Notamacropus eugenii: one gene and its partners. The protein of the gene in region 2 purifies or fractionates together with the protein of the main gene of each other region. This does not show direct contact. Links are inferred from orthologs where the notes say so. Each region holds a gene or a part of one and is shown on either strand. Other genes may lie near its edges. The genes, in order: IFT46, IFT57, TRAF3IP1 and IFT74.

What was found.
Region 1: the proteins of IFT57 (region 2) and IFT46 purify together in Homo sapiens (affinity purification with mass spectrometry; 3 studies listed by BioGRID and IntAct, counting the BioPlex papers as one, with this or other methods). This does not show direct contact. The link is inferred for Notamacropus eugenii from reciprocal best matches to the Homo sapiens genes IFT57 and IFT46.
Region 3: the proteins of IFT57 (region 2) and TRAF3IP1 purify together in Homo sapiens (affinity purification with mass spectrometry; 3 studies listed by BioGRID and IntAct, counting the BioPlex papers as one, with this or other methods). This does not show direct contact. The link is inferred for Notamacropus eugenii from reciprocal best matches to the Homo sapiens genes IFT57 and TRAF3IP1.
Region 4: the proteins of IFT57 (region 2) and IFT74 purify together in Homo sapiens (affinity purification with mass spectrometry; 3 studies listed by BioGRID and IntAct, counting the BioPlex papers as one, with this or other methods). This does not show direct contact. The link is inferred for Notamacropus eugenii from reciprocal best matches to the Homo sapiens genes IFT57 and IFT74.

What each region holds. Positions count from the first base shown.
Region 1 is NC_092876.1:280,244,486-280,251,690, forward strand, and holds the start of IFT46 (intraflagellar transport protein 46 homolog), read left to right. Parts: upstream 1-4,185; 5' UTR 4,186-4,247; coding exon 4,248-4,493; intron 4,494-4,586; coding exon 4,587-4,683; intron 4,684-7,205. Other genes in the region: ARCN1 (coatomer subunit delta), read right to left, coding at 2,316-2,318. UniProt on the Homo sapiens protein: Forms part of a complex involved in intraflagellar transport (IFT), the bi-directional movement of particles required for the assembly, maintenance and functioning of primary cilia. May play a role in chondrocyte maturation and skeletogenesis.
Region 2 is NC_092876.1:360,922,147-360,929,360, reverse strand, and holds the start of IFT57 (intraflagellar transport protein 57 homolog), read right to left. Parts: upstream 3,022-7,214; 5' UTR 2,875-3,021; coding exon 2,657-2,874; intron 2,555-2,656; exon of another isoform or gene 2,466-2,554; intron 601-2,465; coding exon 438-600; intron 1-437. UniProt on the Homo sapiens protein: Required for the formation of cilia. Plays an indirect role in sonic hedgehog signaling, cilia being required for all activity of the hedgehog pathway.
Region 3 is NC_092873.1:65,997,786-66,005,048, reverse strand, and holds the start of TRAF3IP1 (TRAF3-interacting protein 1), read right to left. Parts: upstream 3,005-7,263; 5' UTR 2,862-3,004; coding exon 2,739-2,861; intron 1-2,738.
Region 4 is NC_092872.1:117,072,774-117,080,555, forward strand, and holds the start of IFT74 (intraflagellar transport protein 74 homolog), read left to right. Parts: upstream 1-4,771; 5' UTR 4,772-5,508; intron 5,509-7,782. Other genes in the region: PLAA (phospholipase A-2-activating protein), read right to left, coding at 4,312-4,460. UniProt on the Homo sapiens protein: Component of the intraflagellar transport (IFT) complex B: together with IFT81, forms a tubulin-binding module that specifically mediates transport of tubulin within the cilium. Binds beta-tubulin via its basic region. Required for ciliogenesis.

The DNA of each region.
Region 1 (7,205 bases), about 81 Mb from region 2:
TATATGGCATTTTTGAAAGCTGATGGACACACAAAGATAAAGAGAGACATTGGAATGTCTGCAGGAGGAAGATGGAAAAGATGTATGCCTATCATCTTCCAAATATCTGAAGACCTTTCATGTGGAAAAGAGTTACTCATATTGTATGGGGTAGTCCCTGCTCTCAAAGTGCTTAGTTTGTAAAGGGGGATATAATATTTATACAGATAAATAAATACAAGACAATTTGAGGAAACAGAAACGTTTAACAAAGAGGATGGGAAAAGATTTCCTACAGAAAGTGGAACCTTGAAGAAAGTAAAGGATTCGAACAAGCAGAGGTGAAGAAGTGTTTTTCAAGTATACAAGATGGCCTGTGTTAAAGTATAGAGGCTAGAAATGGAATATCTGGATTGGCAGAACAGTTACTTACACAGGGCTCTCATTTATCTGGAATTTTTGGTTGTGAAAGCAAAGCATGGCCCAGGGTCTACAAGTTGAGGTGGGGCTGGCACATAAGCAAGGCTCTGGCCTGGAACAGGGGGCACAGACTTAATGAAATAGATACTTTACTATATTCAAGAAATTACCATTCTATAGGTAAACAGAGAATGAAAATACCGCACCAACCTACCAATAGCACTCAGGACTCTAGAGAAAGTTGTGATAGATTCCCCTAAAGAACCCATATTTTCACGTATGTGAGTCATGCATGATCTAGATGTTACATTATACTAAAGTATGCATGAACATAAAAACATTCATCTAAATAAACAAAAAGTGCAAGACTCACGTACCACCTGAGTTTGCAAATCCAGCTGTCTTTTTAAAGAAAGATTTCAGAGACCGTTCACTTAGCTTAAAAGATAAAACTCTTAAAACACGAAACTTTAAAGCACCTAAACAGTTACATTCAGAATTAAATGCATTGAAATTCACTAAAAAGGATTTCAGCATGTGAGAAGGATGTGTAAAAATCCCCATTCAATATTTTGGTGATTATTGGAATTTTAAAACCAGATCTGTTTTTCTGGAAACTTTATATAATGCTGAACAAAAATGTTACCAAGAACTACTGTTTTATGCAACTTATCTAACTAAAATAACCCTGTCAGTTTCTTAAAGTCCAAGCAACATCTTCCCTCCTATCTCATTTGACCATCAGCAAAAGCCATTTTGACCAGCATCAAATCACACTGTCAGCTCTTCAATATGTGGAAAGGTACTTTAAATCAGAATACTGACATACTGTTAAATGACTAGAAAAAGTGTAATGGACATGAAAACATTAGGTATCCAAAACAGCAAAATGAAGCTACTGAATTTTAATTTAAAGGTGTTACCAGAATCAAGTTTGGGGTAATTAGAAGCTAGAGTATTCTCATACAAGTAAATTATTAAAATTATGTTTTTTTCTCCAAGTGGAAATAGTATTATTTCCACACTAGAACATATAATCACTCTCCCTAGATGATTCGGGGCCAGGAGGCCCAGGATCAGTCCTATACTTGTCTATTAATTTATTCTTTTTCTACTTAAGAAATTGAGATATTTAAACAGATTGAATTTGTTTAAATATCTCCATTTTTAAAATAGTTTATGAAAATTTAAGAGTTTAAAACGAAGGAGTTTCTAGGGTAACAGATGACACTACCTCTCTAAATCTAAACTCCTCAAGGATCCCAGAGGCCTGGTTCTCCACGTTTCTATGCCTTCAACTGGACGTGAACGGGGGCCGGTCGATCAGCAGTGGGTCCTGAGCTTTCTCTGCTGGAATCAATGGGAAGGGAGGGAAAAGATCTCAAGATAGCCTCGACGCAGCTAAACCCGGCACTGATACAGATCACTCTTTAAAAGTACAATTTTCCTGTACCGAAACCTATTACATGGAAGCACCGAACGGGGATGGGGAGTCCAGGAGACTAGCAGGGAGGGAAGCGCTGGAGAAGCGCAGCCCGGTCCAGCCCGGCGCCCGCCCGCTCGCTCTCCTCGTCCACGTATCTCGAAGGGGGAAGGGGCCTGCGGAACGGAAGGGAGGCCCAGCCTGCGCTCCGCTCCCTCGGGCAGGGGCACAAGCCCCCAGGCTGGGCGCCGGCCGCAGGGTACCGGCGGGAGCCCAGCGGGGGAGCTGCAGCTGGCCCGGCGTCCGGACGGCAGGGGGGCCCTCACTGAGATTCCCAAGGCCTGAGGAGGGCCGGTCCAGGAGCATGGTGCCCGCGGGGCCCCGCGAGGAGGGCTGAGGCGGGGCCGCTCCACAGGCAAGGCCGGCTGGCCGGCCCGGGAGAGGGGCCGCCGGATGCCCGGAGGCCGGACCGGGGGCCCAGCTCGGATCTTACCATGATGAGGGCGGTGGTGCGGCGAGCCCGAGCTCTGGCTCCACTGGGCACAGGGTTGAGGGACCCGGGAGGGGAGGACCGGCCACTTCGGACCTGCCGCTCCCCTGACAGGAGCCACCAGCGCTTCGCTGCTTGCCAAGATGGCGGCCCCGAGCCACGTCTCCAACCGGAAACGGCGCGGGTTAAAGGGCAGGGGGCGGGATCAGTGGGGGCACCATACCCGCCCACCCAGTCTAGACCCATTCGATCTCACACGCCTTTGTCCCCTGCGCCTTCCTTGGTCCGACGGTCGCCCTTGCCCACCTGGGCACCGGGGCGCTTTGGTGCTGCGTGTTCTCGTTGGCTCACTCCTCTATTTCCCCCCCACTTCAGCGCCATCTGCGATCCAGTGCAGTTCTATTTAATCCTACAACCATTTATTAAGTACCTATTGTGTGTATTGCAGGGACCGCAAGACCAGCCCAGCAGGTCTCTGCGGCCGAGGAAGCGGGGGAAGACGCGTGTTCGGCAGCTACAGTCGGCTTAAGACTTTAGAGAACCGAGGCACAGTGAGCGTAAGCGGAACCTGGAGACCGTTTATACAACCACCACCATACTGTGAAGAGAAACGACTTCTAAAGTGCTTAGCGCAGTGCCTGGCACTTACATGCTTCTTGTCGTAAAAGGCTTGGGAACTGATCAACAGAATGACCCCCCCATAATTCAGGGGTCTCATGCAGACATGCTCCCCCCTCCTGACAGAGATGTGATGGACTCACAGTGCATCACGCACACCACATATCACGTAGCCAATGCAGGAATCTATTTTGCTTAACTATATATGTTCATAGCGGGGGTTTTGTTTCTTCTTACTTTGGGAAGGGAGAGAGAAAAGATGGATCTTTGTTTTCAAATAACATTTATTTTTCTTAAGAAGGACTTTATGTAGAAAGTCAGCATATTTTAAAATTTTTTCACAGGTCTGGGGACTGTGGCTAGAAGCTCACGGAAGCTCACGGAATCTCCGCCTGGGGTCGAAACAAAGAAGTACTTGTGCTGTGTTACACGGTGACTGCCACTCATTTCACTCCTTAAGGCTTTCGGGGGAGCCATCAGCCAATCTCGGCTGCAAAAGAAAGGAATCTATTCTGCTGCACACGCCTCGTAGGGGCAAGATTCGGAACAACTGACACGTCCGGGAAAAGTGCCTACCGGACCGTCATCATCCAGGCCGGAAGAAGGAATGCTCCTGCTACCCCCAAGGTTTAGCAGATCCAAGTGGTCTGGGCCTTGCCCTTCGTCCATTCTTCCCTGGAGGATCCGCGTGTCGACTTTGAAAGGACCGACGGACCAGAGAGAAGTCGCCCGACCGGCGGGCGATCCCTGATGGGAAGCGCAGTAAGCGGCTTCTCCCGGCGGGTCTCCGGCCACAGCGGCGCTGCCTGAGGTTGGCCGCTAGATGTCACCACAGGCGCGCTTCCCGAAACCACCGATGCGCCGGCCTGGCTGCCCAGAGGGGCTGCGACCCCTCTAGGCTCTCGGAACCGCGCCGAGGAAGCCTCGGACCGGTGGGTGAGGCGGCCGCCCCAAGGAGGCTGGCCGGAGTTGTCACGAGGTCAAACGCGAAGGCGAGGAGATCTCGCGACGGCTCCTCTCAAAGACTGTCCGCCCGGCCGCCGCCTGAGCTGGAGGCTCCTGCCGTCGTTGGGCCTGGGGAGGGGCTGAATCCGGCGCTCTCGGCCCCCAAGTCCTCTCCAAATGGAGGAGACGGATTCGGAAGGACTGCAGGTAATCCACCGGGCCCGGAGAGGCTAGAGAGACCCCCCCCCCACCAGGCGTGACAACCCGGGAGGACGCCTTGTCTCCATGGCAACCCCTCGGTCTCCATAGCAACACAGGGCCCGCCCCCCCCGCGGTGCTTCCGGAGAGACGCGTCCTACCTGGGGAGGGGGGATGCACTTAGGAGTTCAGGATGGGCCTGAGGGAATGGGATTCCTCCTCCCGTTGGGGCTCCAGCGGGAGACTTCTTCCCTATTACCCCCAGAGATGACCCCAGGACAGAGAGGGGGACTAGGAACCCCTTCAACCTTGAGCCGCTCCCGGCAGCCCTGGGGGGACGAGCTGAGCCAGAGGACATCTCTGTGGAAGCCCCCGGGCTGGGATGAGCGGGTCTTACAGGTTTCTGAAGCGACATTGCTGGTACAGGGGCTCCCCTTGATGGCCCTCCTGGCTTGCAGCGGAGGGGGGAGGGGATGGGGGAGGACCCGCCTCATCATTGCTCTTTTTGCACAGACCAAGGTGGTTGAGAACCAGCCGTACGATGAGAGTCTAGAGATCAATGACTCAGAAGAGGTGGCGAGCATTTATACTCCCACCCCGCGGCACCAAGGTAGGGAAAGAGCGCTTCTTCTCCACTGCAGAACGAGGGGGCTCAGGGGCGCTCTCCAGACTTACAGTGTTTGAACCTAGAACCCCGTTATTTCACATGTCAGCAGTCTCCTTCTTCCCACCAGCAAAGTGAGGGAGGGAACTAATCCTCCCAAATTTTAGTCTGCTTTGGCGCTCCTGTGGCAAGTCTAAGCCCTGCTTAGCTTTCTTTTTAATTAGATTTTGTTGTTTTAATTAACAGGAATTTGTTTTCTCTCCCTCCTACCTTTCTCCCCCATTGGAAAAGAAAAAAGGACAACAATCTCCTTATAACATAAAATACGTATAAGCAAGCAAAACAAATTCTCATATTGATCATATCCAGTCCCTTATTTCTACATGTGTAGTTACCATCTGTCTGTTAGAAGATAAGTAGCATTCCTCATCATGAGTCCTCTGGAATTAAGAATAACCATGAATTGATTAGATCATAAGTCTTTCAAAATTATTTGTTTTTACAGTGTTGTTATTGTATAAATTGTTTTCCTGGCTCTGTTTACCTCACTCTCATCAATTTAACAAGACTTCCTATATTTCTCTTAATCGTTTGTTACTGCACAATAGTATTCCATTGCATTTGTATGTTATAATTTGTTCAGCTATTCCCCAACTGCTTAGCTTTCCAGACCCTCTAACAGTTGACCTCAACCTACCTATCTAGCCTTGAATTATCACTGCTCTCAAACAGGTACCTTCTTTTTCTTACCCATTACTGCCCGTATGCCATCTTTGCTTTCCATTGGGCAAATCATGTAACCTCCTTGGACATCAGCATCTTCATCAGTAAAATGAGGAAGTTGAACTAGAAGATCTTAATGTCCCATCCATGTGACTCTTGTTCCCCTTGTCTTCTCCTTGACCTTTGCTGATTCAAATCCTACTTATACAAGAAGGCCGAGGTCAAGTCCTTCCTCATTGGTGAGACCTTGCTTGACTACTTTAGTTTTCAGAGAGCCCTTGGAGTCATCAGATCTGGACTTGAATCCTGACTTTGACTCTTACTAGCTGGATGGTCCTCGGAGAGAGCAGTTAACTTCTCTGAGCCTCAGTTTCTTTATTGGTAAAACAGGAAATTTTTACTACCTACATCACAGAATGAGGAAAGTGCTTTGTAAACCCATATGGGGGAAGTTGCTCTCTGCCTCTGTATTTCTACCACTTTTATAGTTTGTACCACACAAATCAGGACTTGATTAGATGCTATTTTGTGCCTGTCATATTCAACAGCAGCAGGCATTTAAGTACCTCTGATATGCAAAATTCTAAGTGAGGCACAAGGAATGCCAAGATCAAAAATAATGCAGTCTTTGACCTCTGGGAGCTGGGAGAGAGGCAACATGTGCACACGTGGCAAGTGAAGAGGGCAGAGGAGAAATTCAGAAAAAGTGGTGTAGGACGATTTAAGGAGGTCAGAACACTTTCATTTATGAAAAGAAATTTGAGGTGAAATTAGGGTAGGCTACTTCCAGTTGTGTGCAGAATACCTAGATGATGGAGGAGATGAAGAGTTTAGCCAGAATTATCTTTGCCCTCTTAGGCCTTAAAGTTTAGTTGCTTCCCCAGTTAGGATAAGGCTTATATCTTATTCTGTTACCTCACAACATGAGTGTTACTGTGTCATATGTAGTATATTATTGTATATTTCTTCATTTTTTGTATCTTTTATTAAGAGAGGCAGAAGTGTTATAGTGGATAGAGTACTGGGTCAGAGTCAGGAGTTCTTGGGATTCAGATCCTGCCTCTGATGCTTTCCAGCTTTATGACCCTTGGCAAGTCACTTAACTTTTCTCAGCCTCAGGCAACTTTATGATTTTAAATTACAGGCAGATTACCAACAGTATCCAATCTGGAGTTAGTTTCCACACTATCAAGTAAGATTTTATTAATGCAGTTTGTTTTTTATACCACATTTACTAATAGAGTAACCTTCCCACTCTCCTAATATAAATAAAAAATAATTAAGTAAAACCTGCTAGTGCAGTAGTTGTGACCAGTATAGTATATAACATTCTTTACCCACTTTCACTACTAAAATTGATGTGTTCCAACACCAGTTATATGAAACCAGTATCAGTGGTTGCATTTGATCTGGGTTCTATTGTCTTTTATCACTGCCTTTATTTATATTATTATAGTCAGTGTTTATATTGTTCTCTTGATTCTGATTTATTCATATGTTTTCTCCTGTTTCTCTCCAGATTCCTCAAACTCATTGTTCTTTATTATTGGGCCAATGTCCAGTTGATGTGCCATATACATTGTTTCCAATTTTTTGCCACAGCAAACTGTGGCATTTTGTGTTTAATAATAGTCTCCCATATAGAATGAAATCAAATAAATATATTTGAGTTGTTAATCCAAGTGCATTTTTATGTCTTCTACATACTGTCTCTTTCAATCACTAGTCAGGAATATAGTACTCTAATTCTATTTAAGCAGGTTCTTTTTTCCTTAAAGTCCCTTTATTCTTATTTGTTCTAACCT
Region 2 (7,214 bases):
ACCACTTCTATTAGCACCACTACTACCCCTTCCCTGGAGTAAGACCAGAAATAAAAAACATACTTGCATTATGAACCACCATCAAAAGATGTGTCAAAATATAAACTGTTGTTCAGTTGGATGCTGCTTATTTTTTCAGAAAGGTAAGCTAAAAATCCACGTTTTTAACTTCTGATTAAGAAATTTTTAAGATTAAGAAAAACAATGCACATTTTTGTACTATGTACCAGTGTAAATTTTGGAAGCTAGTGACTTGAAACCATGTTGATGATACTTTGAATGTAATTGTAACACTTTGATATATTTTGATATATCCCATCTGAAAAAGTTAGAAATTCATAAACAGGAAAAAGATTACAGTGTGCCATTTATATTGGAATTAATTAGCAAATACAGTAAGCTTAAAAAACACAAAAAACAAACTCTTTTGCACTTACAAATGATCGAAGCTCAGATAATATATTAGATATTGTTGCATTGGGGTCATCATATTCCTGTGGCTGTTCAAAAGGACATCCCGCTTTATTAATTAGCCAAGCAGCAAGAGTGCAAAACATGTAAAACTGTTCACCTGGGTTGGTAGGCAAAGCAAAATAATGTCTGTTTCAAAGGAAAAAAAAAGAAATCTTAAAGAGCTGCAAAATAGTAACATCTACGATATTTCAAAAGGATGTTTTATTTTAATAACAACATTAAAAACAAACAAAAAGCTAATAATAGATCGCTTCATCAATTTCAATATACCCATATTAACATTAAAGTTTCTTAATACAGAGAATAACAGGTATTAGAGCTGCAAGGAAACGTACAGATAAAAGAGGCACCCAGAGTGACTAAGCCAATTTTTAAAAATATATTTATTATTCTGTTTTAAACTACCTAGAAAAGTTATACAGCTAGTTATTGACAGCATTGGATTTGATTACTTAGGTCTTCTGATAACTCAGTTCTGTGATCTTAACACTTCTACATGGCCTTTCCAAATTAAAGAATCAGAAAAAATCTTTACTGTTATTTGCACATGGAAATAGCTGAACTAGTATGTCTGTAGCACAAGGAAGAAAAGACATGAAATAAAGAAGTGTATCTGAAACTTAAAAAAGATTAAGAAGATCCTGAATGCATCATATGACTTAAAATGCTTTAAGATACCACATTCCAACTCCAAAATACACATGTTCAATGTGACTTCTAACCAATCCACCAAGTCCAACAAAAACCAGTCCCAGATCTGAGATACTATGAAATTTAGTACCAAATTTCAGAGCAAGATGGCTAGCAATAACATTAAAGTTCAGGAATTTTTCCTGCTTTTGTCATGATCATAAACTTCAATTTATAAAAAATCCATTTATTAAGAGCATGCTATCGATGCTGCAGTTGTCAACTTTTTTCAATACACAATCCACTTGTATTGAAACAGAAAGAAGGGCAAAGAAGGGAGATGATGTCATATTATAAATACAAGTACACACATCTCTCTTAAACCCTTCCACTGCTTCTCCCAAGAAGTATATATGGTTACAGATAGTTATTACTACACCTCTACTTTCTTGGTCAAAATTGATCAATGGAAATGAAAAAACCCAATGTCTCTATACACATATTTAAGATGCACTCAAGAGTCTTGATCCTGATTGAATTGGTCAGGTAATAGTGATAACATAATTGATATCAGAAACAAGCAACATATTACTTTTAATCTTAAAAATGTATTTGGGCAAAGTGTCGTATCTTTGGCAGTACAAATATTTTGCACAGAGTGGGCACTTAAGCGCTTGTTGAAATGAAATACAAACGAACCACATTATACTAATAATCCAGTCTAAGAAATCAATCTCTAATAACCTGTAAATCATGACCTATGACTAAAACCAACATTATAAGCACGTCGTTCTTTTCCTCCAACTTTTCACTGATTATGGATAAACTATGCAAGTGAGATGACTTAGATAAGGACCAGGCAGTTTAAAATTTTGGATGATTACAGGAATGAAGAGTAGAAGAAGGCGTTTGAGATAATTCCAGGAAAATTATTTGGACTTATCACACATTAAGTAAAGCAAGGGTGCTTCCAACTCTAATCTGAGCTCACTTGTCCAACACAAAAAGAACCAACGCTAATCTTCGCTATGGAAAGAAACGTATGAAACCAATTCATCTGGCTAAATCTAGAGTAGGTGGGTTGGTGAAGAAAGTGGTGGCTGTCTATTCTGGCCAAAGCAAAAGAGGCACTGCTTTGCGGATATATGACAGGTTCTGAACCTGCCCCCCAAACAAAGGTGTGCCGCTCCTCGGACTTCAGAGAACGAGCACCCCGGGGCGCACGCCAGGGGGAACAGATGTAGTCCCGAAAGTTCGGTCCATATGCCCCACGAATGCATCTTCCAGCCTCCCCTGGCATCGTGCCTTGCAAAAGTGACACATTTCGAAAGATATCCAATCGGAACTCTTGCACGCTCCCTACCCCCTCTCACCTAGGGCCCGGAACTCCTCGGGTTCGGTACTCCTGTCCTAGCTGGACCGGGCAAGCCCAGAAGATGGGGGCCACAAGGTAAAAGGGGTGCGTGCACTAAGCAACGGACGGGACCCCATCAGCCCCTGGGTCCGGCCTGCGCGGGGGGAAGGGGGCGTGGTCGCGGCCTCGGGGTCCTACCTGGACAGGGGCTTCAGGTTGTTTCTGCGCAAGATTTCCTCTTCGTAGCGCAGCAGTTTCAGCTTCTCCACCAGGTCTTCCATCACCACGAACATGTGGTAGGCCGCGCCAGGGCCGCGCTCCACGTACAGACCCTCCCCGGCCGCGTCCCCGCCACGGGGCCGAAGCACCGGGTCCTCTACGCCTACCGGAGACACCACGGCCGCAGCAACTGCCATTTCTGCGGGGGAGGAGGACAGGGGTGGGGGCGTGGGGGGGAGCGGCCCAACTACCTCCCCAGCAAGGCCGCATCCAACTCGGCCGCTAACGCAGGGCGCCGCCGTCGCCTGGCAACGCGTCAACCTCCGGTGACGTCACGCCCTTGCCTTGTGACGCCCACGCGCCCCGGGGCGCCACACCGACGTTCCCTAGACCCCGCCCACTCCACTCTGCATGAACGAACAGGTGGCGGGCGGGGCCGCCCAAACTCCTGGGCCAAGCGAAGACCTGGTCCGGTCCTACCTCCCGGTCTTGTTGTCTCCGACCTCCTCCTGCGCACTTTTTGATCCACTTACTCCGGGCTCTTGCCTGGTCTTTGAACGAGACCCTCCATCCCTCTTCTCTGGGCGTTGTCTCTGGCTGTTCCCCACACCTGGAACGTCCTCCTCCTCCGCTCCACCTGGCTTCCCTGAATCAGCTCAGCTAGCAGCCTGCCTGCTCCTGGAAGCCTTCCCCAGGCCCTCGGAATCGTTGTCTGTTTAGCCTGCGTATCTGTCTTTTGGTCGGTGTGTGTTCGTTTGCCTGTTGTCTCCCCCAATTTAATGGGACAAGGGACTCTCTTTTGCTTCTTTTGCATCCCTGGCGCTTAGCACAGGGATCAATGTTTATGAAGTTGGATAGGATGTAGGCATCGAGCAGAATATGTTTGTACCCCCTAGTGAGGCAGGCATAGATGCCAGCTCGTAGAACTCTGAATTTTGTGTAAGCTTCGAAGTTCCCTCCTCCTTCCCTCTGGCAAGAAATGATGTGTATTTTCTTCCCTAGTGCATCTTATTGCTTGCACTTTATAAAGTTCCTTAACAGATTTTGTAGGCTCTTAGAATAAAGAGGAAGGGGGCAGAACATTCTTTTTATCTGACCTATCACTGAAAACTCTCAATTTAGGGGATATTTACAGTGTGGAGGCATCGAGGTGGGAGGAGAGAGAGAGAGAGAGAGAGAGAGAGAGAGAGAGAGAGAGAGAGAGAGAGAGAGAGAGAGAGAGAGAGAGAGAGAGAGAGAGAAGGAAAATATGAGAGTTTTTGGTCTTGGTGCATTTTTGCCTGATGGAGACCAGGGCTTAAGGTAAAGGTGGAGACATCTACAACCAATTTACCTGCTACTGCAGAAATTAGTGGAGGGAGAGTGTTTGCAAAGCTCTGAAAAGTGGTCTTGTGAAGAGTACCTCAGAAGGGTTGTGATTGAAGAATGTCTGCAAGCTGTTGCTTAAAAACAAGTTTTAGAAAGTGATTTATAGCGGTTTTGAGGATAAAAATCACTTAGCACTTAATAACTATTACTTAGCAATTAGTGAGTGTCTTTAACTGGTTTCAAGGGTGAAGAAATGAGGAAAGTTCAAGTCTACAGATTTTCAACCACAAGGATTTCTGAAACCTTTTAAACTGGCCTTGCCACTTAATGGTATGGAAACTGAAGTCCAGAGTGATTCTAGAAAGGAAAATAGGCATTGAAGCCGTTAGATTTGCTCTTGAGGAAGTATACCAGCTTCAGATTCTGTTGGCAGGCAATGGTGTATGGCCTTCCCATGGGCTTTCTGTCTAAATATGTGGGAGAAATATAGTTATCAACTAAGGAATAAAACTTTCTCTATAGTTTCATTATTATTTTTTTTAAGAAGTAGTTACAGGAGATACAGAGGAAATGTTTGTAAAGTTTTAGATTAGAGATTAGAAAGACAGATTAGAAAAATCTCTTGATTTTTCACTGTTTAAACTAATTTCAGTGGATAAAATACCTTTCAAACCATTCCTTCTAGGTCTCATCAGGATTGTTTATCCAATAATTTTCATTCACTTGTACTTGGATATGGTAGCACTTGACAATGATATATTTTCTCTGTGTTCCTAGAAGGTAACAGTTATTTATCACGGGCAATTTCCATTTTCCTGAGGCTCTCTTCATCTCCTGGCATTAGTTGGCCCTGTTTTGCTTTTAATGTTCAGTAGCTCTCCTTACCTTTTCCAGGTGAAATGCTTAGCTGTAGCTTACAGCCTTCTAGGTCACAGGTTCTCCACCCCAGCCTAGAAAGATCCATCATTTTGTCATTATTGAGACTAGTGGATGTTTTCAAAAGTTGCTGGGATGAAAAAAGATTTATCAATAACCATCCCTCTGGTACTGAGCCTCTCTACATGGTGTGCAGTTAACAGACATAGTAGTTGCCAGGGCCCATTTTAAAACCTTTCCAGTTTGAGAGAAACTGCCCATGCTTAGGGTGAGCTAACACAGCCCTCAAAAATCCAAAATCAGCTGAAGTGGATCAGCTGATATTGTTTCCAGTTTTCTTCCATAGTTAAGCAGCTAATAAGGAAAGCAGACACTATAAAGAGGGCGGCTATAGGTTTAAAAAAAATAGTGTCAGGGAATTTGTCATCCAAAGTTGAGGCAGGAGTAAGTGTACCACATGGAGGGTTGGTGGTGAGCTTGGAGCTGGTCAGAAGATTCAAGCCACTCTTCCTTTTTCTGATTCTTCTGGTTCCTCCAGTTACTTAATAACTGGTGTTTTAGCAACAGAAAGTATTGTAGTATACTGTATTAGGGTAGGGAAGTCCTGGATTCTAGGCTGAATGACTAATACTTAATTGCTGTTACCTTGGTCAATTTCTCTTCTACTCATTTTTTTTTTGTTTTATCTATAAAATGAGGGTGTGGAACTAAATATTCTTTTTAGCGTATTCTAGCTCTGTCGTAAAACTGTGAAGCTTGGTTTATATGAGTTTAGATGAGTAGATCTGATTTATTCAATGCCCGTTTTCAACTGATTCCAAATAGCAACAATTGTAATAACAGCTAACATTTCTGGAGTGCTCCCTGTGTGCCAGTCACTCTGCTAAGCACTTTACAGTTATTATCTCATTTGGTCCTCACAGCAACCCTGGGAAATAGGTGCTGTTATTATCCCCATTTTACAGATGAAGGGAACTGGAGAGAAACAGAGGTTAAGCCCAGAGTCATTCAGCTTGTAAGTATATGAGGCCAAATTTGAACTCAGGTCTTCCTGATTCCGGGCCCAGTACTTTATATACCATGCCATGAAAGTGTTGAGGGTCAAATGGGAACTGAGAAATAGTATCTAAACATATAAAGTTTTAGTATTTCAGTATATATATTATATATAGTATATTATATATACATCTTATATGTTATATATACAATCAGTAACTTGTGAAAGTTCTAAGTGACTTGAAACTATTAATCTTTTATAACATACTCAAAAACTACTTAATGCCTACTATGTGTAAAGTATTGGGGGATAAAAGACTGACAAGGTTCCTCAAGAGTATAGAAAGACAATAGCGGTACCAATAGAAATGTAAACAGTAACCCAATTCAAGGACTTAATGAATTGATATGATATTTAGCAGACAGATCTGCCAGAGATAAACCGAAGAAATAGTGATCAATTCCACTGAACAAATGTCCCTTCAATTCCTTTCAAGATGAGGGTGGGGTGGAACAGTGGAGTAAAGGAGGGGCCTAGTACATTAGGACTACAGCAGGCCTGTATAACATATTGCCCACAGGTCACTTGTGGACCTACCAAAGGATTTCAGGTGACCCTGGAAAATGTAGAGAATAAAAATAAAAATGTAATGAGTGCTTTGTCCATGCCCTGGTTAACCTGCCTTCCACTAGTTATTATTGTGTCCTTAGTATGGTGGTGACCACATCCTGATAAACTGTTTCAGCAGGTTGGCTAAACCAGGTTGAAGATAAACTAGAGGTGAGTTGAGTTAGGGGGGGTGTCTACCTCAAGCATATGAAGACTTCCCCTAGTGGAATGGGCAGATGAGAACAATTTGTTCCAGCAGTCATGAAGGCAGCTGAAGCAGGCACTGTGGAAACACTCAGAGCTTGGTTAGACATCAAAGATGCCAATGTCATCCACTGCATCTGGAGCCACCACCAGCTGACTTGATTCTGTCCTGCCACTGGACTGTGATGACTCTGGAGGAGAAAGTGAGGCTGATAATTTCATGCAGCTCTCTCTCTCTTAAATTTACTTAACACATGAATCAAAAGACATCACCTGTCATTTTACAACCATTGGACCCATCATGTAACTGGTTAGGTGTGTTGCCACTGTGTACTCTCTCCTGTTTGTCACATAGCAACTAACCCTCATCAGTCTTTCCCTAATGACTAGACTCATTATGGCCCAAAGAAGTTTAGCCTATTTTAATTTTAGTCCCTACCTACTGCCAAGTTGTACAAGTCTGGACTACAAGGTTACAAAGATAAGTAATGTGTCTCACCTGAAGGGCTTTATAAGCAAGCAGGGAAGATAAGTCTTGCAAAT
Region 3 (7,263 bases), on a different chromosome or scaffold from region 2:
GCATCAGTAAAAATAAGATAAAAACAAAACACCATTTTTTTTTTTTAGCAATTCTGATGCTTTACACTGATTTTATCAAAAAGTTTTTTCAAGATTTCAGAGGTCCTAGCATTTTAAAGAAACTGATGGTCAAATCAACTGGCCCTATAAGATACAAAATCTGTGATGTCTCCAGGGCCCCTCTGGAAAAATCATGGGCAAAAATCATGGAGGACAAAACCTTGGATGTTTGGATTACCCACCCTACCAGACAAGGTGACAGAGCCTGCAAATTTTCAAAGGTGTTTTCTTTTGGGGGGATGCTAGAGGGGTCCAGACCTGAGATTTCATGGCTCTAGGGAATTTCCTGTGTGGAGCCTCACTGCATTGAAGCAGGTGACCAGTTCATCTGGAATTTATATAGTCTCAAAGTTGGGGTGGGAGTGGGTGAGTAGATATGGGGATGAAGGTTAAATGACTTACCAGTGGTCAAAGAGTTAATATATGTTAAAGACAAGACTTGAACCCAGGTCTTCCTGACTCTAAGGCAGGACCTCTAGCCATCAAGTTATGGCAAACATTAAATATTATTACATTGGCAGATAAGATGAATTTAGCATCCTATCAATGAAAGGCTATAGTGGCAAAAAGATGAGGGCCCACAATTCTTTATACACAACAGAAGTATCTTGCCTCCCTATGAATAATCAAGTCCTTCTGTTTGTTTCTTTTTCTCCCTCAGTCTTGCTACTACTACCTCAACCAATGCACCTAAGAATGCCAGAGCAAAAAGAAGCAGGTGACCTCAGAGGACCTTAGAGGTTAGAGACTCTCAGGGACAAAAGAGGCCTGTGAAGCTCTTGAGGCCAATTGCTACCTAAGCAAGAATCTGCCTACTGCATAACCCAACTCCAAATGGGCACCCGACCTTTGCATGAAGACACTTCTCCTTCCCCAGGCAGCCCCTGCATGTGGGGAAAACTTCAGTTGTTAGGAATTTTATCCTCACATCAAATCTCAATTCTTCTCTTTGTCACATGCCCAAATGGTCCCCAGTGCTGCCCCTCTGGGGCTAACCCCTTATACAACCCCCATTTAGAGATGGGCACACACATCAAGGCTCAGGGAGTGGTAATGACTGGCTCAACAGCACGAACAGTTAATGGCCAAGACAGGAGCACCCAGAGCTTTCAATCAATGAGCAAAGAGCAAGCTGAATGCAGGAGATTTTGCAGATACAATTCACAGGACTTAGTACAGGGTGAAAGACACTGGAATATGAAGGTGAGGGACATGAAGAAGAATCGAGGTTAATTCTAAAGTTTCGAACGGGAGGCCCTGGCTGGGTGACGGTGGCATTAACGGAAATGCTGTCAGAAGCAGACTTAAGTATTACTTTTCAAGCATATGTAAATGGGGTCGTTATGAAGAAAATGTAAATTCATTTTTAAACATCAGTGAATTAAATGTTTTGTTGTTTACTTTTCAATTGATATCCATTATGCGATATGTCTATATATTTTTTTCTTTTAGAAAAAAGGGACTCTCATACTCAAAAAGGTTGGGAATCCCCAGGCTACATGACAGTACCATCAACTAGATTCTCAACTGATTGAGCGAACGTAGTCTGCATAAACAAATGATGGCTCTGTGGCAACTTAGGGGGATGTCTCTGGTGGATAGTCTGGGCTGTTGACCATTTTTATCAATGACTCAGATGAAGAAACAGATGGCACATATTTATCAAACACGGAGATGACATGAAACTGGGAACATTTGTAGGGCAGTGTCAGGCACTTCTGAAGCTCAGTTAGATCAAACTGGCATTCTTTCATTCTTTTAACTGCTTTTACCCAACAAACCAATTAACCAGACCCGACTTTGGGGTCCTATTTCAGTTCATCTTGTCCCATGCACGGCACAAAGCACAAAAGTGGTCATCTTCCAAGGACTAGTTCTTTCCTGGGGACTGTTGTTCAAGGACAGAATTCCATTTTCTTTCATGCAAACCCAAACTCCAGCTGCACTTTATAGACTGGCTAGTCCACAGCAGTAAACACATCTTTCAATTTCTCAGTCTCCTAGTTGCATTAAACAGAATACATGGTTTTTCAGGATCGATTTCCCCCTTTCGTTGGTTTTTGACAAAGGAAGGTTGGTACCAGCAAGAGGGAGAACGTCTGTATGACCCGAGCGGTCCAAGAACCAAGCAGTGCCCGTCACCGGGGGGCTAAGGGCCCCGACCCGCACCCCGACCCGCACCCCCCCAGCCTCCGGGCAGACGGCAGTCGGGAAGCGCGCCGGCCTCCCATGGCAACGCGGGCAAACACCCCAGCCCAGGAAGTTTCACATCCAGCCGACTCGGACGTTCTTGGGAAGACTAAAAAATCAGCATTCCACAAACAGTCCCGGGACCTGACCCTTTCCGGAGGGCAGGGGCTGGAGGAGCCTGGACCCCACAGGTCGCAGGTGGTCACTGAATCCGACTCCCCTGGCTCTGCGGCGTGCACATTACGGGGGCGCCCCTGCTGGGCAGCTCCCCGCCCCCCCACACCCCCCAGGGGGGCTCTGCTCAGGTTCCCCTCCCCCTCCCCAGGGGCTGCCCGCAGCAAGCCGGAGGCGTGAGCGGCGATCTGCACAGGCAGAGGGAGCTTGCCGAGCTGGGAGGGCCGCCGGCGGCAGCCCCGCCCTCCACAGAAGACCCCCCGCTAGGCCCAACCCCCCGGGGCCTCCCCTGCCCCCCCGGCCTGTGCCCGCACCTCCGTGACTATGTCGTGCAGGTAGCGGAACGGGGGCTTGCTCAGCAGCTTCTCCGTCAGCGGAGGCTTCTTGATCACCTTCCCCAGGGAGTCCTGCGTGCGCTTCACCACCGACGCGTTCATGGCGGCCCCGGCCGCGACCGGGCCACCTCAGGCCGCCGCCTGGCCCCGCCGCTCCCGCCTCCACCGCCGCCGTCGCCGCCGAGCTCGCCGGCCCATCCCACAATACACCGCGCTCCACAACGGCGCCTGCGCGGACCCACAGCGTTCTGTCGCCAGGCGCGCGCCGCCCTAGCAACGGGCAACAAGCCGCCGCCGCCGGCATCACGTCCCCTCCCCCTCACCGTCCAATCCCGGCTGGCCGTCTCGGATGTCCCCGCCTCCAGAGGTCGCCCCCAGCCCGGCAGCCCGCCTCCTCACCAGAGTCTAGGCCCCGCCCCCTGAGAGCGACCCGGCCCCCAGCGACCTGGCCCCCCCTTCCAAGGCCCGAAGACCCGGACTCTAGCCCCACCCCTCGTCGCATCCCTGCGAGCTCCTCCACGGCAAGCTCCGCCCACCCACAGAGGCCAGGCCCCACAGCCCTAGCGGCACCCGCTCTTCATTAGCCTAGCCCCTCCCCATTTCCAGCCCCCTGGACCCGCCTCCTTCCTCCTCCACCTCCCACCTCACAGCCCCAGCCAGGATCCTGGCCCCGCCCTCAGGCCAGCCTGCAGGAGGCGGGGTGGGATGGGGGAGGAGCCCACGGGTCTTCTGGACTCCTCCCTCCTGCCCCTCTCTCTCCTCCCCTCTCCTTCCCTTCCTTCCCTTCATTTCTCTTTTCTCCCTCCCAGTCACCTTTTCTCCTCCTCCCCCTTCTCGTTCCCCCTCCTCCTTCCCTGTCTCCCAAAGCATGTGGGTGAACGCTCCCCCTCTTAAGTCACAACCTCCCTAGGACTCAGTTTCCTTACCTACAAAACGAGAGAACTGGACAAGACGGCCACTGAGGTCCCTTCTCTCAGAGAATCTTCCTCCACTCGTCTTCCTCTTCCTTCCCCACTTCCCCCATTCTCCCTCATTCTTCTTGTCTTTTCTACGGTGAATCCTCTATCCTTTTTCCTCCCCCTCCCTCTTTTGTTTGCCTCCTCTCTCAACCTTTCTCTTCCCTGCTTTCCTCCTTCACTCTCCCATCCCCCTCCTCTCTCTGCTTCCCTCTTCTCTATAGTCTTTCTTTCTTATTTTCTCCCTGAAGACTAAGACTTTACAATTCCCTTACTTATCATATTTGAGGTAAATGGGTGAGGGTCTGATTAGTCATTGCCCCACTAAACTTTAAAGAAAGTAACAAAATACCCTACCCTGATATACACATCACATTTTTCACTCTGTGAAAATGACCAAATCCAAATAGTTTAAAAGAGAAATAAGAATTGTGAATGCAGAATTATAGCTTGCACAGCAGAAGTATTCGGCAGAATAAAAATTTTGAACCCACAGTAGCAAGTGTCACCAACAAAGGAAAAGAAAATAACTCAGTGGGAATGCGTACACACAGAAGTGAAAGACAAACTGGGAGAAGAGGAACTGAAGCAATAACATTAAGAGAAAATGTGGGGGCACCTAAGTGGAGCAGTAGATAGAGCATCTGCCCTGACATCAGGAGGACCTGAGTTCAGATCTGGTCCCAGACACTTGCTAGCTGTGCGACCGTGTGCAAGTCACTTAACCCCAATTGCCTCCAAAAAAAGAAACGAAAGAAAAATGTGATCTCCATGCATGAAAAACATTAATCTCAAAAACCAACTAAGTGACCCAGAAGAACACAAGTTAAAATAAAAAACATCATAATGTGAGAAATAATACAAGAAAACTGCCTAGAACTTCTAAAAAACAGTGTCTATCAAAAGAATTCACAGATCACCCCCAGATTAAACAAAACTCCCCAAACTCCTATGCTGTAAACTCCAGTGTTTCAGTTGAACAATTCCATTGACAACACATTTTCTAAGCAACAAGGGGAAAGACTTTCAAGAATAAAGCAAAAGAAATTTTAAAACACAACTCTTTAGCACTGACCAGAAACTGTAGGAGATATTGAAATAACATGTTCCTATAAGCAAAGGAGCTCAAACTCAGCCCAAGGTGACCTAACTTGAGCCTGACTGTTAGGGAAAAAAATGTGGATGTTCAATAATGAAGAAGAAGCTTTCAGAGAATTCCCAGAAAGAAAACCACACAGAGGAAAGTATTTGCTTTTCAAATGTCCAACATAACAAAAATATAAGAAAACAGGGGCAAGAGCAACAGGAGGACAGCCAACCAACAATCATTGAGACTCTTTCTAAATGTACATGAGAAGAAAAAGGTGAAAGCAGAAATCAAATGGAAGTGATGGTGAAGAAACAAGCGTAAGATATCATAGGCTGAACCTCACAACATCCCAAGTAGAGGTGAATCAATGCTTGTTATGGGATTAAATGTCAAAATAAGAGGACACATAAAAGAGGGGAAAGGAAGAAAAACATAGAGGGGAATATGTGATATATCCCAGGCAAGTCAAAGTGCAGTCATAAGAGAAAATGACTCCTGTCATTTCTCAGGAGGAAGAGAGGCTACAGTAGAATGAGTGAGGAGACAGAAGGAGGGATTAAAAAAGGGAGAGTAAAAGACGAAAATCTTGGGAACCAAGATGACTGAGTAAAAGCAAGGACTTGCTTGAGCTCTTCCACCAAACCCCTCCAAATACCTGTAAAAATGATTCTAAATACATTCTGAGCAACAGAACCCACAAAATGATGGAGTGAAACAAATTTCTAGAACAAGACAACCTATAAGGTCAACAGGAAGCATCTATTGCACTAGTCTGGGAGTAGAACAGTCCAGCATGGGCCATGTCTGCACAGATAGGGTTAGAGAAATCCTCAGGGGACTGAATCATTGGCAACTGTGGCAGTTTCTAGACTTCTCAACCCACAAATGCTAAATACCATATGGAAGTTCAGCGGAAAAACTCTGTGGGATCTGGTCTGGCTGGGCTCTGGCCCCAGCCCTGGGGCATAGGAGGAGGAGGCGGTGCTGATGACAGCACCACCAGCAGCAGCAGTGAAAGCTGTAACTGCTTCTGGAGCTCTGGGCCCACAGATTGTGGGGGACTGAGTGACTGATGCTGAGTGACTGAAGCCTGGGACAGTATACTCACCCCTACCTATACTGGAAGAAGAATCCTATCTTGACAAAGAATTAGAAAGTCTAGTATTTGACTGGGAATATGAACAAACAGTGTAAAAAACCTCAGAAAATCTTTGGTGACAAAGAAGATCAAAACATAGAACCAGAAGAAGACGACAAAGTCAAAGTTCCTACATCAAAAGCCTCTAAGAAAAATATGAATTAGTCTCAGGCTATGGAAGAGCTCAAAAAGGATTTTGAAATCAGGTAAGAGACATAGAGGAAAAACTAGGAAGAGAAATGAGAGTGATGCAAGAAAATTATGAAAAATGAGTTAACGTCTTGCTAAAGGAGACCCCACCCCCAAAAAACTGAAGAAAATAATATCTTAAAAAATAGACTAACCCAAATGCAAAAGAAGTCCAAAAGCTAATGAGGAGAAGAATGCCTTAAAAAGCAGGATTAGCCAAATTGAAAAAGAATCCAATAGCTCACTGAAGAAAATAATTCCTTAAAAATTAGAATGGAGTAAATAGAAGCTAATGACTTTATGAGAAATCAAGAAATTATAAAACAGAGCCAAAAGAATGAAAAAAAATAGAAGACCATGTGAAATATCTCGTTGGAAAAACCACTGATTTGAAAAATAGTTCCAGGAGAGATAGTTTATAAATTACTTGACTACCTGAGAGTCATGATCAAAAAAGAAGAGCCTAGACATTATCTTTAAAGAAATTATCAAGGAAAACTCCCATGATATTCTAGAACCAGAGGGTAAAATAGGAATTGAAAGAATACACTGATTACCTCTTTAAAGAGACCCTCAAAGGAAAACTCCTAAGAGTATTGTAACGAAATTCTGGAGTTCAGAAGTCAAGGAGAAAATATTACAAGCAACCAGAAATAAATAATTTGAGTATTATGGAAATACAGTCAGGGTAGCACAAGATCTAGCAGCTTCTACATTAAGGGATTGAAGGCCTTGGAATATGATATTCCAGAGGTCAGAGGAGCTAGGATTAAAATCAAGAATCATCTATCCAGCAGAACTGAGTATAATACTTCAGAGGAAAAAAATGGAATTTCAATGAAATAGAAGACTTTCAAGCATTCTTGGTGAAAAGACCAGAACTAAATAGAAAATATGACTTTCAGATATAAAAATCAGGAGAAGCATGAAAAGCTAAACAGGAAAACAAAATCATAAGGAACTTATTAAAGTTGAGCTGTCTACATCCCTGCATGGAAAGATGATATTTTTAACTCATGAGATCTTGCTTATTATTAGGGTAGTTGGAGGAAATATATATGTATGTGTGTGTGTGTGTGTGTGTGTGTGTGTGTGTGTGTGTGTATGTGTGTACATAGAGGACACAGGAGG
Region 4 (7,782 bases), on a different chromosome or scaffold from region 2:
ATTTAATCCATTATAGAAAATCTCAACAATGACAATCACAATGTCAATATATGATAAGTATTCACATAGCTCTGGGGCTGAATAATATATCTTAATAAACGGAACATCTATCATTCTAAATTACAGAAAAGTCTACTACAGGGACATCAAGGCCACAATTCAGCAGCAGACATGAAAATGGGATTTTCAATCTCCTCTACACAGCTCTGCTATAGCACTCCTTGTGCTGCTTCATATAATCAAATAAATCAATTAAAGTTTATCAAAAGTACAAGATATACAAGATGGATACAGGACACAAGATGGATAGATGAGAAAAGACTACCAAAAAGCTCATGGTGATAAATGGCATGTCCTGAGTAGTTAGGGCTGTTCAGAGAAGGGAGAGACCACTTGTGGCTAAGGGTGTCAGTTTTCTGCTTCTGGAGAAAAGCAGATTACGTTGGGGCAATCAAAGAAGCTCATGATTTTGTTAAGCAGAAATGGGGAGTGACGGGGAATGAGATGAAGAGCACACTAAAGTATAACATCTAAGTAAAGGTCCACTCTAAATCACATAACCAGAGGCAGACCCAAGGAATTTGAAGCAACAGCATGGTAACTCATGCAGACCCATGAAGACTCCAGGTTTATGCTTCAGTCATTTCATTGCCAGTACAGAAGACATTCCCATACAGCCATTAATAACTTCCTTCAAGGGGATTGGGTGTTGGTAAGAATAAAGCTAGGAGTTCACTCTAAAGTGCTGATCTTAGAACTGATCCAGTTTCTTGAGGTGTAACAACGAGGGTTAAACCCAAACCCAGAGTAGACCCTGTATAAATTCTTACTCCCTTCCCTTTCCCCACCTTCTGAAGAGAATCACAGTGCACACATGCACCTCTAGATCTGGCTGCAACAAGACTGCTTACTACTTTTCACCTGGAGTACTATGATAGCCTCTCGGCAGAACTCCCCTACCTCCAGTGTCCTTCCATAACCCAGTTTTATATTCCCAATTGGGGTCAACTGGGCCCTGCAAGGGTCCAATGCCTAGAATTATAAATGGACTCTTTGGGACAAGAATTCAGCTCCTCTCCCACAAAATCCATGGCTTTTAGCAGCTTTTATGAACCTGGTCTGGTGTGAAAGTGATTGTGATCCAGACACCTCAAAGGCAGAGTCAACAAGTAACTAAGGTCTCCAAAGCTGAGTGGACCTGGACCCAACACATAAACTAGATTATACTGGCTGATATGATTGTGACCTTCCTTCTTTGTCCCTAGATGTTTTGCTTTAAGTCTTAAGTGACTTTTAAAAGACTTTTAAAAAATAAAAGGTCTACTCCTTTATTCATTACTAATATAACTGAGTCTGGGTAAAATGGTAAGGTCCTTAAGGGCAGTATTCATATAATTTTTCATCTCTGTTTCCTGGAATAAGCCAATTGTTGAACAAATAAGGTGTTTAATAAATGTTCAGTGAATTGAACTGGGGTGATTTTTATCTACCTTATTATAGCAAGTACCGAGCAACTCTTCCATTTAGTTAAGGAAAATCCTAAGATATAAACTTTGAAAGGATGTCAGTCTTGATTAAACATTTAGTTGCAAAGCTAAAACTAGGGTTTAAAGACATATTTACAGGAGCAGAAAATAGTATTCCCTCACAGAATAAAAAGCAATGAAAGATAAATTGAGAACTAAGCCCAATCATCTGAAAAACATATATAAACAAACAGCTATTAGTATTTCTGTAGCAGTTTTTCCCTTCAGTAATAGAACTACCACATCTAACCTTCAATATCTCAATACTTGATGCATTATATGAGGAAATGGAAACGTCATTTGAGAAGATGGATTTGGAAGTGCTGCGTACCTTGTCTAGCACATATAGAAGGAATCTGTGCTCAAGGTGACAATTCTGAAGATCTTCAGGGATCGATTTTGAACATCTCAAAAATTCAAGTTCATGGTATGTAAAGCTACTATCACATAAAGCTCCTCTGAAGATACTAGAGATGTGAGCCTGGAGTACAGAAGACTTGGAAAGATATAATAACTTTCTTCAAGTATCTGAAGAGCTGACACATGGAAAACGTCCCTTATTCTGTTTGGTTCCAAGTACCAAACTAGGAAGTTACAAAGAAGCAAATTTGTGCTTGAAATGAGAAAAAAATTTCTTAAACATTAGTGCTATCCAAAAGTGTAATGGGCTACCAAAGGAAGTAGGGTGTACCTCACAAACAGCAATGGATGGATAGCCACTGAGAATGCTGTAAAAGGAATCCTTTTTCAATAATGGGTTAAACTAGATATTCCATTTCAGAAATTCTATAACTCTACCGAAAGAATGGAGTGAAAAAAAATGCAGAAGATATTATCATAAAAAAAGATGCAAATGACCAAACACTAGCAAATCCCCATCTATGTCTTTCATCTATATAAAATCTTTTTGAGAATAGTGTCTATATGGATCAAAGAGTATCCCTGATAAAAATGTGAGAAAAAGCAGGCTTTCACAGATAACTTTCAAAAGAAGTCACATGTTCAGGACCATACAATTAGCTATGAAAATTTGTTAATTGCCAAAAACAAAGGAATAAATTTGACTCAGAGCACTAAATGCACATAGGCTCTCCTCTAACAAGAACAAGATACAAAAGTTAAGATTATTCTTTGATTTCTTGACTAATGCAACAAGAGAAAGCTGATGCAACAATATCCACCAAGAAGGCATAAAGCAGGAAAATATATGCTACCCAAAGATTTGCCGATACAACAGTCCATACTCGAGAGATACTCCATAGGTAGTAAGGTTCTCTAGATACTCCTGTTGCAGATAACACTGTACTGATTACATCAAACTCCGGATTCCTATAGGGCCTCCTTGGTGAGATCCAGAGTCACTCAAAAGGCTGGTATAACAAAACAACCTAGGCAGGAGAAACAAAGTGGATGAAGAACATGTATTGCTTATAAATTGTACCTTGAAAGGTAGATGAATGAGTTATTTCATCAGCAAACCCGTGCGTATATGTGTGGGTACGTGGATATACATACCCACACATACAAACTCATCTATCTTGGACAGGCACTGCAGATGAAAAATGAACCCAGAACAGAAAATATGGAAAACAATAAGATTTTCTGATGTGCCTTTGGAGTACTATGTAAAACCAGCCTTTTTAATACAACTCATTTTTCATCTTTACTATATGGCCTCCAATCATATTCCAATGTCCAAAGAATCAAAATTGAAAAACACCCAAAGGGTATGTGGAAAGACACACAGCAGGCACAAGCGCACTATAGCACGTTGCCAGTGATAATCTGTATGCAAGAAGTGGTGTGAAAAAAAGGTGCCATCTAGGAAACATACAGCCTGAACAGAAATAAACTAAACGTCATTTGGAGAGTAAACTGTTGAGAACAAATGGAGACCCTGACTATTATTACACTAGGAACAAATAAATGCTAAAAGACAAAGAATGAAAGAAAGGTGCTTTTTGAAAGATTTACTACAAAACAGGGAGAGGAACTGCATTACTACAAGAAAAGTATCCACAATAAACAAGTCTCCAAGATCCTGAAGCATTATCATAGGCATAGTCTTATTAAGACCAGGGGTGGACAAGCTGCGGCCTTGAGGCCACAACTGGCCCCTAGATCTTCAAGTGTGGCCCCTGGAAACTGGCTTCAGTCAAGGGGCTGAACCTGAGGACCTAGAGGGCCACCCCTGGTGGAGACATTCAGCCTAACTGCTGACTCTGGCTTTAGAGGGGAAGCCCCTCGTGACTGAGGAGCCCCTTAAAAAATTCTCGCTGTACTTGTGATGAGACTTTAGATGCTCACATCTGAGCAGCAGGATCTAAGATGAAGAATGACCACTATCCGGAAGGCATCAGCGTCTGTGAGAAACCCCAAGACAAAATTTCCCAAGTGGTTTTATACTGGTTTTTAGAACAGCTTGTATACAAGTGAATCCCGCCCACCCCAGTCGGCCTGGAAGCTCTTCCTGGCCGTACCCGGGTCACGTCTAGGAAGCACAAAACCACAGCTAACAACACCATCCCGGAGGTAAGTTCAGTGAAGTCTCCGGGCCTAACCCGAGCGAGAGGAGGCAACCACGCGCGGCTGCGTGCTGGGAGACCCTGAGGCTAGAAGGCCCGGTCCCTACTTCCTCCTGGTTGGAAAAGCGCAGGGAAGTCTCCAATAGACTTCAGGATTCTGCAGAGATTCCCGGCCAGGACGCCTGGGGGGGCGGGGGCCTCCAAAAAGCGAAGGCTGGGGCGGGGCCACGCCGCTCTCCGCACTCCGAGGCCATGCTCACCTGTTCGGGGCCCACAGGCGAGTGGTGCGATCTCGGGACACGGACACGAAGGCCCCCGGCGGGTAAAGGCCGGCTACCACGCCCCGCACGTCCAGCTCGTGGCCCAGGAGCGAGCAGCTCAGCCGGTACCTGCCCCCGCCGCTCGCCATGGCCCCGAATCCGCCGGCCAGCGCGGGGATGAAAGGAGGGGAGTAGGGAGTGCGGTTGAGGGGGGAAAATGGACACCGTGCTTGTCCCCCAAATTCCCCAAAAAGGGAGGCCGGGAAAGCGTGTGGGCAGAGACCACCCCCGCTAAGCGCCCGGGCCACACGCGCGGTGACTAGAGAGTGAGAACAGGAGACCGGGGAGGGAAAGAGGGGGCCGTAAGCAGAACGGGGCGGGCGGGAGGGGGGAAGGGGGGAAGGACAGTAGGCTCTGACACAGCAACCCTATACCGCACGCCGGAAATGCGTCATCGGCCGCCGCCGGGCGTGACGCGTGAAGCAGAGGCCTCAGGAGGGCGCGACGCGTGAAGCTGGGACCGCTGACGGGCGCTCTCGCTTCACTCGGTCTCCGCGCCCTGGCTCACCACTCCGGGAAAGAGAAGGGGGTGATGATATTGCCGCCGCCGAGGAAGGCCAATTCTCACATCCACTTCTGGATTTAACCAAGTCCTAGTTTGAAACCAGAGACCAGTTGGAACTACACGTCCCGCGGAGCAATGCGGCCACCGGGCTTATGGAGGGGGCGGGGCGAGAGTGAACTCCATCGGAGCGGTCCACGCTGCAGCTTTGTGTACACACATGTCCAGTCGCAGCAGTACTCAGCCTCTCTCGATGCCATCTCCCCCAGAGCATCCACCTTCCTCTCGTGTATAAGCTCCATCTTCTGCTTTTACAAGCCTCGATGTCTGGGGAATCGCAAACTAGGCCTAAAGTGGGTGATCTGTATGTTCTACAGCGTGTTGGACATCTCGAATTGGCATCTTAAACGTAGCACGTACAAAACAGAACTCACATTACCCTCCCAAACCCTCTTCCCTCCTCCATTCCCCTGTTACTTCTGAAGTCATCCTTGACCTGCTCCCATCGCATTCGTTGCCAAGTCCTGTGGATCGTACCTTATCCGCCCCCTTTGCTGCTCTGACGCTGCCAGCGACGTGGTACGCTATAATCCCTTATCGTCTCGTACCTGTGCTATTACTGCAGTCGCCTACAGGTTGGTCTCCCTGCCTCTTCTCTGCCCATTGCTGCCCATCCTCCACTCAGCTGTCAAGCTGTCAAGGTCTGACCGCGTCATGCCTCACACCATGGTCTCTGCTCAGCACAGTCCGGTGGCTTCCCTGTCACACCCAAGATCAAACATCCTGTTGGACTTTCAAAGCCTTCCATAGTCTGGCTGCCTCCTACCTTTCTATGCTTCTTAAACCTCTTCCTCCCCACACACTCTACAATCTAGTGACGCTGGCCTCAAACAGGGTATTCCATCTCCCTACCCCAAGAATTTTTACTGGCTTTCCCCAGTCTTGGAATTCTCTCCAAATTCTGGCTTCCTTCAAATCTCAGATAAATGCTCACCTCCCATGAGGTTTTTTTTTTCTCCCATCCCCTTTAATGCCAGTGAGCAGTCTCGCTGTACATATCTTGTGCATAATTGTTTCCGTGTTGCCTTCTCCATTAGATTGTGAGCTCCACCAGACCAGGGATTGTTTTTGCCTTTCTCCCATACATCTCCCAGTAGTTAGCATGGTGCCTGGCACATAATAGGTGCTTAATAAATGCTTCTTGACACTAGGGACCATGTTTAACCACACATTTATGTATTTCATTATTTTTAAAAGTCTCTGAATACTTGCTATTTTCTTTAAAAAGATTTTTCTTAATGGACACTACATAGTGGAAATGAGGTTCTGTGAAATTATAAACCTTTATTATATGGCACAGTGGATAGAAGACTGGGCCTGGAGACAGGAAGATCTGAGTTAAAATCTGACCTCAGACAATTACTAGCTGTGTGACCCTGGACAGTTCACTGAATCCTGTTTACCTAAGATGCCTCATCTGTAAAATAAGCTCGAGAAGGAAATAGTAAACCACTTTTCTTTGCCAAGAAAACCCTAAATGGGGTCACAAAGAGTTGGTCAGGACTGAAATGACTGAACAGCAAATATGAAGTACACTATTCTACTAAGTGCATTCATTTCTTCATTGATGGTATGGAGCATATTTAATTCAAAGAATATTTAACAGTTAAATCAATAAGGATTTATCAGGCATATACTATGTGCCCAAAACAGAGGTAGGTGCTAGAGATAGAATTACAAAAATGAAGTATTCGCTGTCCTCAAGGAGCTTACTTTCTGCTAAGGGAGTATAGAACATGTTCACAGATGAATATATACAGGATATATACAAAGTGCACAATTGTTGAGAGAGGGGAGCACAACCATTGAAAGTTTTTGAATATCTTAAGAATGACTGTGTGAGAAAGAACCCCTCCAGGCCAAACAGGTGCAGTAAATTATACAGACTCAGGGTGAATGAAGCAGTTGCTTCATAATAAGTCCTGCAGGACCAGTGTGGGACCCAAGATGAACTCCCCGTAATTGTGAGAAATAATCCTCTTAGCAAAAATTCCACATGGCCTTCAGTAAATTAAGGAAAGATTTCATTAATCTTTCTTTTGCCAGAGATGGCGGGAGCCAGGGTAATCATAAGGAGACACACCCTTTCAGACAATTACAAAGCTTCTAAAAACCATCCCGATTTGAATTTCCTTCCTGCATCCCATTGGTCAGGTCAGGATTCATAGCCTATCTGAAAACACCTAAACCCCACCCTACGTGGGTCTCCATCCCTGCTTACGTTTCTCATTTTCTTTATACTTTCTTTGGTAAAAGAATGACAAGTCATAAATTATTTTAAAGGAATTTCCTCAATTAATAAGAGACTGAACCCAGGATGTTGAAGTTTCTTCCTTCATCTAAGAAGAGCCCCAATATTCCAAATAGTATTGTGGAATGAAGTTCTCTAGACTTCAGGGTTGTGAATTTTATCCAAAGTATAAGGAAGGAGATGTTCACCTTTAGCTATGCTGATAAGCAGATACCCACATTCGGTTTAGTGAAATGTTAATCCACATTCTCAAGACTTTCCTTCTAATCCATTTGTTTTCCTGCATTCCACAACAAATAAGAGACTTTCTGGTATTACATGTTTTCTGTGGAAACAAAAGTTCAATTCATCCCTTACAACTGAATACTGTTTTAGGAATGTCTATACGGCAGTGGAAAGCAGCCTAGATTGGAGTAGGGAGGAAGCATTTTATGTAATTTTAATGGTTTCAACTTGTACTGGACCATAGAATAGAAAAGTCATAATAGTGTAATATTTCATTTTAGAGATGTTAAGGGACATACCAGGAGAAGTAATAAGTAGCAGAAATCTGAAGCTAAACTGATTCTGATCCTAACTAGTAAAAAGCTGTATGACC